Saccharomyces cerevisiae S288C: one gene and its partners. The protein of the gene in region 4 interacts with the protein of the main gene of each other region in a biochemical or structural test. Each region holds a gene or a part of one and is shown on either strand. Other genes may lie near its edges. The genes, in order: COX4, PAM18, TIM50 and TIM23.

Evidence for each region.
Region 1: the proteins of TIM23 (region 4) and COX4 are reported together in a solved structure, tested with the Saccharomyces cerevisiae proteins (2 studies listed by BioGRID, with this or other methods).
Region 2: the proteins of TIM23 (region 4) and PAM18 form a complex in vitro, tested with the Saccharomyces cerevisiae proteins (4 studies listed by BioGRID).
Region 3: the proteins of TIM23 (region 4) and TIM50 form a complex in vitro, tested with the Saccharomyces cerevisiae proteins (12 studies listed by BioGRID).

Annotation. Positions count from the first base shown.
Region 1 is NC_001139.9:149,173-151,688, forward strand, and holds COX4 (cytochrome c oxidase subunit IV), read right to left. Parts: upstream 1,000-2,516; coding exon 532-999; downstream 1-531. Other genes in the region: TPN1 (Tpn1p), read right to left, coding at 1,865-2,516. UniProt on the Saccharomyces cerevisiae protein: Component of the cytochrome c oxidase, the last enzyme in the mitochondrial electron transport chain which drives oxidative phosphorylation.
Region 2 is NC_001144.5:165,077-168,091, reverse strand, and holds PAM18 (Pam18p), read left to right. Parts: upstream 1-2,008; coding exon 2,009-2,515; downstream 2,516-3,015. Other genes in the region: TEN1 (Ten1p), read left to right, coding at 290-772; RLP24 (ATPase-activating ribosome biosynthesis protein), read right to left, coding at 956-1,555; Smc5-Smc6 complex subunit NSE1, read right to left, coding at 2,690-3,015. UniProt on the Saccharomyces cerevisiae protein: Essential component of the PAM complex, a complex required for the translocation of transit peptide-containing proteins from the inner membrane into the mitochondrial matrix in an ATP-dependent manner.
Region 3 is NC_001148.4:428,114-431,900, reverse strand, and holds TIM50 (protein translocase subunit TIM50), read right to left. Parts: upstream 1,963-3,787; coding exon 532-1,962; downstream 1-531. Other genes in the region: YPL062W (uncharacterized protein), read right to left, coding at 1-6; putative peptidylprolyl isomerase CWC27, read left to right, coding at 2,285-3,190; ESCRT-I subunit protein VPS28, read right to left, coding at 3,246-3,787.
Region 4 is NC_001146.8:661,171-664,105, reverse strand, and holds TIM23 (protein transporter TIM23), read right to left. Parts: upstream 1,194-2,935; coding exon 525-1,193; downstream 1-524. Other genes in the region: acetyl-CoA carboxylase ACC1, read left to right, coding at 2,732-2,935. UniProt on the Saccharomyces cerevisiae protein: Essential component of the TIM23 complex, a complex that mediates the translocation of transit peptide-containing proteins across the mitochondrial inner membrane.

The DNA of each region.
Region 1 (2,516 bases), on a different chromosome or scaffold from region 4:
GAGAACATCTCCCAAGGAGAACGAAGCAATACCGGTAAGCTGCTTACCGTCGGGGCAGGGAAGTTCAATTCAACTCCCTGTGCCGAGAATTTACTTTTTTCGAAAAATCGACGTCTTTAAAAAAAGAAATCAGTATGTATGGGTGGGTGTATGGATGCTGTAAGCACAGTCTAGAATCTTTTGGAAGTAACTTCGCAACAACCTCTAGCTAGCCATCTCTGACAGAGATAGAAATAGTAATCAGTTATGACATGAATAGTACTAATATTAATAAGAATTTTTAAATAAAAATATATCTCGACCTTTTCTCGATCTTTTTGGTTATGTATTTTTTGGCTCTTCATTATAGATAGAGCAAAGCGTTCGCCTTAACCTTCCTGCAAAGAACTTTCTTGTGGAACTTTGTTAACATGACGTGTGTAAAAGCTCAGACCTGGTAAGAATATTCGCTAGGTTTCCAAAAAAAAAAATATAAATAAAGAAGAAGGTAAAAAGTAAAAGAGAAACAGAAGGGCAACTTGAATGATAAGATTAGTGATGGTGGTCATCATTTGGAACACCAACAGGGTTTAGTTTGTAAACAGAACCACATTCCCAGCATCTGGCGACTTCGTTAACAGTTGGTTTTAACCACATAATAGTATGTGAACCAGCGGGAGAACCCGTACAACCGACATAACGATAATCATCATAAGATTCAATGATGATCGGATCTTTCATGGTACCCTTCCTGGACGAATCTAATGGTTTGGTGTCGAAAACATCGATACCCTCTAATTTACCCAATAATTCTAACCTAGCTAAACCAGTTTCTTGATCTAGGTCTGTTGGAACGGTACCCTCTTTAGCACCAGGACCAATCAAAGTTTCTGGACCATTAACTTCTGCTAAGTTTTGGGCAGTTTTCACCACGGGTTTTTGCTGAAGCAGATATCTAGAGCTACACAAAGTTCTTGTGGCTGGCTTGAAAAATCTTATAGATTGACGTAGTGAAAGCATTGTGCTTGTTATCTATTTGTATGGCAACATCAAAATCGAAATGGGTGAGTATTGTTAGTATACTGTTTCTTCAGGGAGAAGAATACGTTGACTAAAGGAAAGTGACAGGGAATATTTCGCATCGAATTCTTCATTATATGATGGACAATTTGGACAATTATGCAATTATCGTCTCAAGCCAAATAGAAAAGCAGGGAACGAGTTAAACTTGCAAATAAATTTTTTCTTAAAGTCAAATCCAGATTTGTTTTCTCTTAGTTCTTTTCCGTTTCGTTCGATCTGTTAAATATCTTCTTTCCTGGTAGTTCTTCTCCTACATCTCATGTATTTTTCAATAAGAGGATTATAACATACATTTCAAAATAATCTTATTTCCTGTTTATGCTAATTTTTACGCAATTAGCGTGCCTAAGTACAAAAAAATGTTTTGTAAAAAGTATGAAAAAAATTCTAATCTTCGTATATCTTTCTTTCCTGTGTTTATACTTGGAAGAAGCGAAGTATTTTATCCTTGAGTGTGTCTTATTTTCTCTTCCCTTTATTTGCTACTAACCAAGATGGGAGATATCGCTTTTTCGAAGGACGCCTTTGGAATCCGCTGATCTTATTGGTGGACAGTCAGCTGACAGAAAACTTAGATCGTGACAGCAAATTAAACGATTTGTGCTACTGTTCAAAGTGTCAGTATATCACTCGATGATTTCAATTGTCCACCAGGCTTAGATTTTCATGTGAAAAGATAATGTGTACAAAAAAATATCCTCCCTGAGCGTAATTTAACATACCATGAATCTACCTGCCAATATTATCTAAACTAAAGTTTGCCGCTGCACCGTAGTTTTAATATATACTTATGTCATTTCAATTAACGACCAAATTTACGTAGCTCTAAGTATCTACAAGGAGGGTATACAACACCTGAGAACGCCATACTTAACCACATTGCGACATCACCACCATATTCACCAAATTTGGCAGCAATTGGGCCAATCCAATAGGCTTGCGCCATACCAACTACCACACCAGCAACTCCTACAATAAACGCAAATGTTGCTGCATAACCGTGCGTTAAAACCTCATAATCTTCCCATTTGTCCCAATTGTAACGATGTTTAGTCACCTTATGTTTTCTTTTTAACAAATGGATATTAGTAACTGCATCTTTCTCCACTTCTTTTGAAGATCCAACAAGTTCCGGTCCATTTATTTCTCCTGTAACTGTAGGAAACTCTTTGGTGTACAAATGTAAGAAAAACCTTCTGAATACTAAATTCTCTTCGAATAATAAGATAAAGTACATGCTAATCCAGTAGCCTATCATTGGTAGGAAATTTCCCAAAATAGTACTAAAATGATTACGACCTATTAATGCGCATACCAAACAAATTATAGTACAAACAATAGACCAGAACCAGCGAGGGATTTTTGCACAAAACACACTAGAAAGTTGGATGGAGAATGCTGCCGAATACGTATTGATGATGTTGTTGGATACCAAACTGAATACCAGTACTACC
Region 2 (3,015 bases), on a different chromosome or scaffold from region 4:
ATTAGGATTGTCAAAACACCCCAGTATTATTTGGGCTCGTAATATGATATAAATCAATAGTCATATGGCAACTTGGCCGAGTGGTTAAGGCGAAAGATTAGAAATCTTTTGGGCTTTGCCCGCGCAGGTTCGAGTCCTGCAGTTGTCGTTATTTTTTCTTTTTCTTTTTTTTTTCTCTGAAGCAGAGATGGAGAATAATGAATGCCCTTATTCTAGGACATAATTCACTATATTGTATTGGTTACATACAGCTCTATTTGCTCTTTTTAGAGAACTACGACAGTGTTATATGAGCCAGTTAGTTCTAGACTTAAAATGTTTGAAGGATAAAATAGCAACGAATTACGATATTCATAACAATGTTTACGGTGGAAACGGAATGGAACCAAACATTATTCATCCGTCCAAAAGATTCAGGATTGTTGTTCGATTAGTAGATTTCTTGTTCTGTAAATCGGATGAAGAATTCATTAAAGGTTTTTTCTGTCAAATGATAGTTAGAAATCTTCATTGCCTCAATTCAACAAATGGCGCAGAGGAGATGCGTTTGTATATGAGCGAAAGATTATTTTCAGCCCATAAAGATGATTTGAGATTGATAAATGGGCAGGTACTGGATGTTCGCATTGGGGTATGGTATGGAATACACCAAAGTCCGCCAATTTTTGAAATCATTGATTTTAAGATACTATCCAGGAATGACGTTCGTGATTTCTGTGAATTTGTCAAATCACCACTTGGTGAGAAGTTTCTGAACATCTCTAACTCCTAAGTCAGACGTTTGGCATATACTGAGATTATATAATACCTTTGATAAGAATGTAAGAGGACCCTTGAAAATAGTTATTGTAATGTTATGTAATGTAAATAATAGTATACAGGTGATTCTTATTTATCCCATGAAATAAGTATGAGAAAAGAAAGGAAAGAGGCAATTAGCCCGGTTCTGTTCTAACTAAAAAGCAATTTTCTTTGTATTTCTTCTTCTGTTCTTTAGCAGAATCTTTTGCTTTTCCAATTGTTCTTCCTCTTCCTCGTCACTGTCGATTTCCATATCCTCCTCTTCTTCTTCAGATTCCTCTTGTTCGGATACTGATTCAGCTCTTTCTTGTTCTTTAGCCAACTTTCTGGCAATTTCAACTTCTCTGATTCTCAATAATTCTGGGTTAGATTCGACCAATTTCTTATCTCTTAAGAAGTCCTTTTCTTTGTTACCTCTCATTCTATTCTTGTAGAAGGCTCTTTCACGTTTTTGTCTAATTTCTTCGATTCTAGCCATAGCCTTCAAAGTTGTGGCAACTAACTCTCTATTGTATCTAACAGGGACATTTCTTCTTTGGGCAAAAGTCAAGGTAGAATCCACAGCCAATTCTTTTCCGGCAGCCTTTCTGAAAGCTTTGGTCCATTTTAGTTTTCTTGGGTTACGACGTTGCTTGAATGCCTTGTGACACTTAGAACGGCAGAACCTAAACTCTTTAGCATCGTTACGCACAAACATGATCCCATGACCTGGATAACATGGGGATGAGCAAAAATGGCATTGATAAATTCTCATTTTTTTATACTTACTAAACTTCTACTTCCTTTTCCTTTTAGTTTCTGAATGTAAATCACGGGGAGGTGGTGGTAACAATATGGACAACTCACGCTTGAATAGCAATATCTTTCAAATCACAAGTCGAAGAACTTAAAAGTGGTATATCACGGATCAAGATAGAAACTGATGTAAGTTGGAGATAGGGTGGGATGAGATGAGATGAGTTTAGAAATACATTATTTAATAAAAGACGAGTGAAAATTTTTCACTCCGCTGAGTTCGAGGCGAGCGGGCAAAAAATTTAAAGAGCGAGAATCGGACCAAATGTGAAAGCCATTTGAATCAACGTAGGACTCACTCGACGGAGACCCTTGAACTAGACAAAGTACGAATAGTAGTGGAATTTGTACGTCTCCACTGGCCGAGCACAGTTTAATAAGGTTGCATAAACACTTCCACCCGCACAATATCATGAGTTCTCAAAGTAATACTGGTAATTCTATTGAGGCACCACAACTACCCATTCCTGGTCAAACTAATGGCTCTGCGAACGTTACTGTTGATGGAGCTGGTGTTAATGTCGGTATCCAGAATGGTTCGCAGGGTCAAAAGACCGGAATGGACCTTTATTTTGATCAAGCTTTGAACTACATGGGAGAACATCCTGTGATAACAGGTTTTGGGGCCTTTTTAACTTTATATTTTACAGCCGGTGCATATAAATCAATATCGAAGGGACTTAACGGTGGAAAATCCACTACTGCCTTCTTGAAAGGCGGATTTGACCCGAAAATGAATTCTAAAGAGGCTCTACAGATTTTGAATTTGACAGAAAATACATTGACTAAAAAAAAGTTGAAAGAGGTTCATAGGAAAATTATGTTAGCTAATCATCCTGACAAAGGTGGTTCTCCATTTTTGGCCACTAAGATAAACGAAGCTAAGGACTTTTTGGAAAAAAGGGGTATTAGCAAATAAGGTAAAACGGGAACCTAAAATGAGTTATTGCAATTGCATATATGCCTAATACAAGTGGTATAAACCTCGAACCGTGTTCAATCACATGCCGTTTAGGAGATTAAAATACTTCGGGCAATCAAATGTTTGTATAGATAAGTCTTGTAAATAACACGGAAAGCTATGTATTTTAGTTTAAATAACGTATACGCCCTCTGTGATTAGCGATGAACCGCAACGATCACAATTCTTGCTTACATGGGTAATATAATGCTTGAAACAATCAACATGCCAAATTTGAGACAGACTATTCTCTCCAGTTTCCTCATTCTCTTCTCGGCATGATTCGTTGCCGCACCTGACACCTTGAATTGCCAGCTTGTGGCAATTTTGGCAAGTGTTCAAATTGTACATGGATGTTAGATACTCTTCTAGTTCTGCTATACAGCGAAGATCAATACCGAATTTCCCTTCCTGAGTCCTGTAAAACCATTTCAGTTCGCATAATCGGAGTAGTAAGT
Region 3 (3,787 bases), on a different chromosome or scaffold from region 4:
TATCATGCCCTTACGTGAGGGGCAGTGTCGTATGTGACGGCAGTTCCTGACCTGATAGTGTGTCTATTTGTCTGTTAGCGTCCGCGGAAAGTTGTGAGTACGGTTTTTAGTTTAGTTTCCACCCGGGATTATACTTTTGGCTACCCTGACTGGAAGGCGGCGGCCTTATATTCGAATGAACATGCCAGGCATTGTACGAATTGAAACTTTTTTCGTATGACGTTACGAATAATTCCATTCGGCCTAAATATTCTTTTTTTTTGGATTTTTATGCTAGTGAAGGAATATGAGATATGCAAAGCGCATCAGATCATTAGGTGTGTCTACATCGTTAAAATTTAACATAGAAAAAATAAATAGGCGTGTTTGTACGTAGTATGGTGATGTTAGGAGGTGCAGTGGTAGTAAGTTAGCAATATACATAAGTTTTATTCACATGACAGTAACAAAATGAGGGTGTGGGGAGTGTACAGGTACATTTACATACACACATAGATACGTAGATACATGAGAAGAGGGTTTACATGAAAATTATTTGGATTCAGCAATCTTCTTCTTTTTCTTTTCCTCTTCAAATAAGGCGTCTACCTCCTTCTGCTTCTCCAATTGTATTTTCATTTGTTCTTCTGGCGAAGGCAAGTTACCTTCAACATAGTCTTTCAGCGTAAATGTTTGCCCGCCCATTTGCTCCTGCTGTATTCTAATTTTTTCCTTTTCTTCCTCAATCATCTTCATGAACATTAAATAGTTCTTTTGTCCTTCTTCATGAATCAAATCGAGCGGGAACTTGGTGCTGCCGCCCAGGGAATTTCCGAGACCTAGTGCCGTCATTGCCCAGTTGCCACCAGATTTATGATCTCCGTAAAATTTATCCTTCAATTTTTTCACACGATGATCAAATTCTTCTGCTAGGTTCTTCTTGTCTTCAAAGCTGTTCAAGATTGGTCTAACATCCTTGGTTTGTTGAGTGGCAAGGTACTCCAAAAATGGAATCAATCTTACTAATTTGTCATCAGCTTCACCATTCCATGGCTCCATTGGAATAGCATTTTCAGGTTGCAATTTGTAACTGTTAGGGTCAGTGTCAATAATGATTACTTTACTCAAATCTCTATTCAATTTTGACAGATCCTTAATGTGCACACCGTCTTTGTAAACACAGTGTTCCTTGAACAAATTATAAGATACGAATGCATGGATTGGATCTAATTTTTCAGCGATTTTGTCAGAGTACATCATATAGTTGGATGAAAACAAAACAATTTCGTAATACTGCGATAGGTAACCCAAGAAGTAGTCAGCACCAGGTCTTTTGGCCGTTCTCCAACCATGCTTTTGAGACCACTCAGAATGAACCAAAAAATCTTCCAATGTGATAACAAGAGTTAATGGCCTTTGGTACGGTGGTGGTGGTGGTGGAGGTAGTAAATCAGGGAAAGGTGGCTCTTGGAAGTAGGTGAACATTGAGTTGAACCTGGCCTTGAATCTTTTATACATAAGTGATAAAGTGTAGCCATTATCGATGTCTTTCTTCAATTCTTCAGACTCTTGAGGCTCCCAATCCCTTGCCATGTAGATTGCAGTACCTGTCAACGCAGACAACGAAAAAATGTAAAACCAGTTAGCATACTTTTCTCTTTTAATATCTGTAGAAGTTTGTCTTTTTCTTCTAGATTTTTCACTTTTGGAAGAAGGTTCATTCTTGTCCTCTCCTCCTTCTCCTGATGTTTCCTCGTTTTTGCCTTGGCCCTTCTCATCGACGTCAACACCGGCCTTGAACAGCATATCATCTGTAAGAATGGATTTAGGCTTGTCGTCTTTTGTTTCTTTTTGTAAAAAACTTGAATAACTTGTTAAAAGTCTTCTGGATGCTTGAACCGATGTTAAGGTGTTGGCGGCAGATGGCACAACCCTAAGAGCCCTTGAATTTAGTCTCACCGAATTTCTTAAAATGGACAGCATTGCAAGCGGGTGATTTTTGGAAGTTTATTCTAGCTGTGATGTGCTAAAGCAAAAAATCAGTTATGCGCCAAAAGCTAATCACGAAATTGAGTGGATGCTAGAAATTACCGTTCCGATTAATCCTGACGTTATGTTCGTTTGCTGAATATATCTCACTTTACTGAAAGAACTTCCAATTTTTTTTTTTTCCTTTTCCGCTGTAAAGCGTCTGAAGAGAAAAAAAGGTTCAAAATGTCCTGAGAATAATTTATTGAATAATTTATTATTCAAAGCGTATTACAGGAAACATGTATGATGAGTTTTAAACCAAAGTAAGAATGCTATGTCCAGTAATATAGAACCTCAGACAACAGCTAAATGTATACTGTATACAACAAAGGGGAACATTGCCATTGAATTATGGGCTAAAGAATGCCCTGAGACATGTAAGAGGTTCTTATCTATGCTCTCAGATGGCACATTCACCAATGGAGAATTTAAAGAGTTAAAGCCAACACAGTGGCTAATGTTTAATGCAAATAGTACTGGTGAGTACCGTACAGTTGCTGAGGAAAAAAATCCTCGTATACGCTTCAATAGAGATGGACTCTTGGGATGGGATAGACGAAGGAACACATGGTTTATAACTGTGCTGGCGGATTCTAAGCACGTACTGAACGATTGTAATGTATTTGGCAAAATTGTTGGGAAATCTATTTACATCTTTAGAGAGATCTTGGGCGGCGAAATTGAAGCTTCCTCCCGTGACAATGATGTCAAACGATTCATGTATCCTGCAGTTTTGAAGGATGTTGAGATTACCATACCATTCTTTGAGGACATCTTTGGATCAAAAAGAAGACTGGAAGATAATGAAAAAAAAGAACAAGAGCCGGCAAAGAAACTTGTGAAATCAGCAAAAGTAAAGATGGTTTATGAAGATGAGCAAGAGGATGATGATGGTGATGTTCAAAAGCTTAAGCCAAGAAAGAGAATGATTCTCCCAGCATGGATCAAAGATGATAGTCGCAGTGAAGGAATTAAACTAGACGCATCCTTAGATCAGCCACAAGAGGCACTAATTAGGGAAAAGACGGAGTTGCATGATAATGTTGATGAGGCAACCACTAAAGAAACGGAAAGTCAAGAAAACATCAAGGAAGAACCAATGGATAAAAGAGAGCGGGAAACTTTGGCAATGTTGTCAAAATTTCAAGAACGAATAAAAAACAAGAATATTCTAAAGTGAAATAGAAACGCTTGTGTACTTATATATGTTATCATAATTTCTATTTGTTTATTTCTTAATCCAGTAAAGCATAAAAACTTTTATAGGCTAGTTCTAGATCAAACAGAAGTTCTCTAATTTGTGTTTCAGTTAAAGTGTCACCAATTGAGAGTTTATTTATTCTGACAATCCAGTCAATGAGTTTTGATCTATTCTCAAAATCATCCCTGGTGACGCGATTTATGCTGATTAACAGTTCAGCCAATAAGGGATGTAATTGATCTTTTGCATTATAGTTTAGTTTCAAAGCATCCATTACAGTGATGAAATTACCAGTGGCCTCAGCGACGTATTTAGCATTAAACTTTTTGTCGCTAGAAGAACTTTGTTTATTATCACCAGAGGGAGCCGATGTGGTAGTGGATATCGCATGTTCTGCTGTAATTGGTATGCCCCTCTCCAGTCTTGTTATTGCGTTCGAAGCAGTGATGTTGTATGTATCGCAGAACGCTTCTATGGATTGGAAATGCTTGTTTATCTCTTCTTTATTCTGAGAATTCAGGTAGACCTTGAACTGCTTTAGTAATTTGTCAACAGTATTAGTGTATTGGGTGTCAT
Region 4 (2,935 bases):
TTGTATATTTTACCATTGTTTGGTTGTAGGAAGCAAGGGTTGAGGCCTAGACGGCGCAGTTTTTTGCGGGTTCTTTGCTGCTGTTATCTCGGTCAGGTGTTGATCGTTAGCAGCTATTTAGCGTGAGGTGTACAGAGGCCGCAGGGCTTTGTGCTGCTTCCAAGCAGGTCTTGCCGGGCGAATCGGTGGGCCGGGACGGCTCTGACAGTTTCGGGAAATACCCGAGAGTGAGCGGTTTGTTTTACTTTAATTGGCCATCGAAAACAATAGCTTAACAGTACAAAAGGCAAATAACATACAAGTAGTTGTATATATGTACATATCTACACATACATGCGCTCTTTCCATCTTTTTTTTTTGTTTTTTTAGATCTTTTCTCCGGGTTTCTACTTTCATTGGTTTGTTTTCTGCGTTACGTACTATTATTTTTCAAATGCTATATACAAGCGCCATCAGTGCATGGGGGAAAAGCGAAGAGGGAGAGAGAGAGAGAAAGAGAGAGAGAGAGTAGGTTCTTGTGTTGCTCATTTTTCAAGTAGTCTTTTCTTGACACTACACCAGACGGCGCACGCAGCGGCCACCATTGCCGAGGAATAACCCATGGGTTTCAAACCTTTTGAAGACTTGAACAAAGCGCCCGTGAGGGCCCCAGCGCCAATGGAGCCCGCGGTGTCATGTTTGCCTCTTAGTGCATCTATTGTAGAATTGATGATATTGTAGCTCAACGCGAGAATCCCCGCATTATTACCTAAGAAGGGACCTCTCTTAGTAATGTGATTCAGGACGGTGTTCAATTGCAATTTTCCGGGACTATTGGGCGGAATATTCTGCAGACCCTGCATCATACCAGAAAACCCTCCGATACCAAGTCCCAGCAGGTAGACGGCACCGGTACCGTAACATAGGTCATCGGTCCACCCACGGGAAGGGATCAGACCCTGTGAGCCTTCTAACGAGGATAGTTGTTCTTCTTCCAGATCTAAATACTCCACACCCTTGTCTAGACCAGCCAAAGGATGCAGCCTAGCGGTGTCGACATGCATTCCACCAGGACCTGATATTATGTTATTGATGTTTGGCTCGAAACCTAAACTCTGCTTCAACGATAGTTCCTTAGGCTTGGTTGTATCTTGGCCGCCCACGGCAGCATTCGCATCATCGGTAGGTGTCTTATCTCCAAAAAGCCACGACATGATTGTGTGTGATCTGTTAAACAAGTATACCTATATTATCTTGGTTATTTTTTTTTTTTCTATCTGCTTTTGTTAACGCTATAACGTGTAGTATGTACAGGCAAAGAGAGTAGAAGAGGAAAATGGTCTTTTTTTTTTTTTTTTCTGCAATGGAGGGCGAATGCAATAACCTATTATTTCTATTAATTAAACGCAACAAATGTTTCCCTTTTGCTCTACGTAAAGGTTCCTTTCTCTCTTTTTTTTGTCGGTGTCTTTTTTTTTTCAGTATTTTCTCTTTTTTTCAATGAATCGTCGATTTCCTTTTCTTCCTTTTGCGATTAAATTATTTTTACCCAGCTTTAGCAAGCCAGTTCGTACGCAGCGACTAGCAAACAGCCGGGTAACTCACATTTTGTTTGCACACTTAAAATACCCATACAGAACCATTATATATGTTGGGTTGAATTGGGACCTAATGTGCTGCTCAGGTGCCGCGTATATCATGACACTTATACTTGGTGGGGAATCGCCCGTCAGGCCTGAACGCAACGAACCCGCGCATGCATCGACGTCACAGTGAGCTCAGGCCGCATCACGGCCGTTACGCCCTCCAGAGTCACCACGACTGCGACTAGTATCATCCGTCAAGAAGAACAAGAACAAGAACAAGAACAAGAACAACAAACTCCGGGCACATCTCTCGGCTTCAGTCGCTTTCGCTCATTGCCTGTAGGTTGGCCCGATATGCGTTGACGTTATCCAAAGGGGAATGCTTCATCTTGTTGAACAACGCCCAACAATTTCCACTGCCCACCGAATCGTTGCGCCCGTTAAAATCTTCACATGGCCCGGCCGCGCGCGCGTTGTGCCAACAAGTCGCAGTCGAAATTCAACCGCTCATTGCCACTCTCTCTACTGCTTGGTGAACTAGGCTATACGCTCAATCAGCGCCAAGATATATAAGAAGAACAGCACTCCCAGTCGTATTCTGGCACAGTATAGCCTAGCACAATCACTGTCACAATTGTTATCGGTTCTACAATTGTTCTGCTCTCTTCAATTTTCCTTTCCTTATTCTACTCTTTTTATCCCTTTCGTACAGTTTACCTGAAGATAAAAAACAACAAAGCCAATTCCCTAATTTGCAATCGCCATTTGCATCTATATATATATATTTGTTGTGCCATTTTTTTATCCTCTGTGAGTGATCGGTGCATGTGTTTATAAAAGTTTATTCATTCTACTATACGAACTTTTCCCTCTGCCCTTCCCTCCCGCTTCATCCTTATTTTTGGACAATAAACTAGAGAACAATTTGAACTTGAATTGGAATTCAGATTCAGAGCAAGAGACAAGAAACTTCCCTTTTTCTTCTCCACATATTATTATTTATTCGTGTATTTTCTTTTAACGATACGATACGATACGACACGATACGATACGACACGCTACTATACTATACAAATATAATAGTATAATAACCGATTCGTCTTCTAGCTTAATTTTTTTCCGTTCCCGAAACAGCGCAGAAAATTAGAAAAAATCAAGTTTCTACCATGAGCGAAGAAAGCTTATTCGAGTCTTCTCCACAGAAGATGGAGTACGAAATTACAAACTACTCAGAAAGACATACAGAACTTCCAGGTCATTTCATTGGCCTCAATACAGTAGATAAACTAGAGGAGTCCCCGTTAAGGGACTTTGTTAAGAGTCACGGTGGTCACACGGTCATATCCAAGATCCTGATAGCAAATAATGGT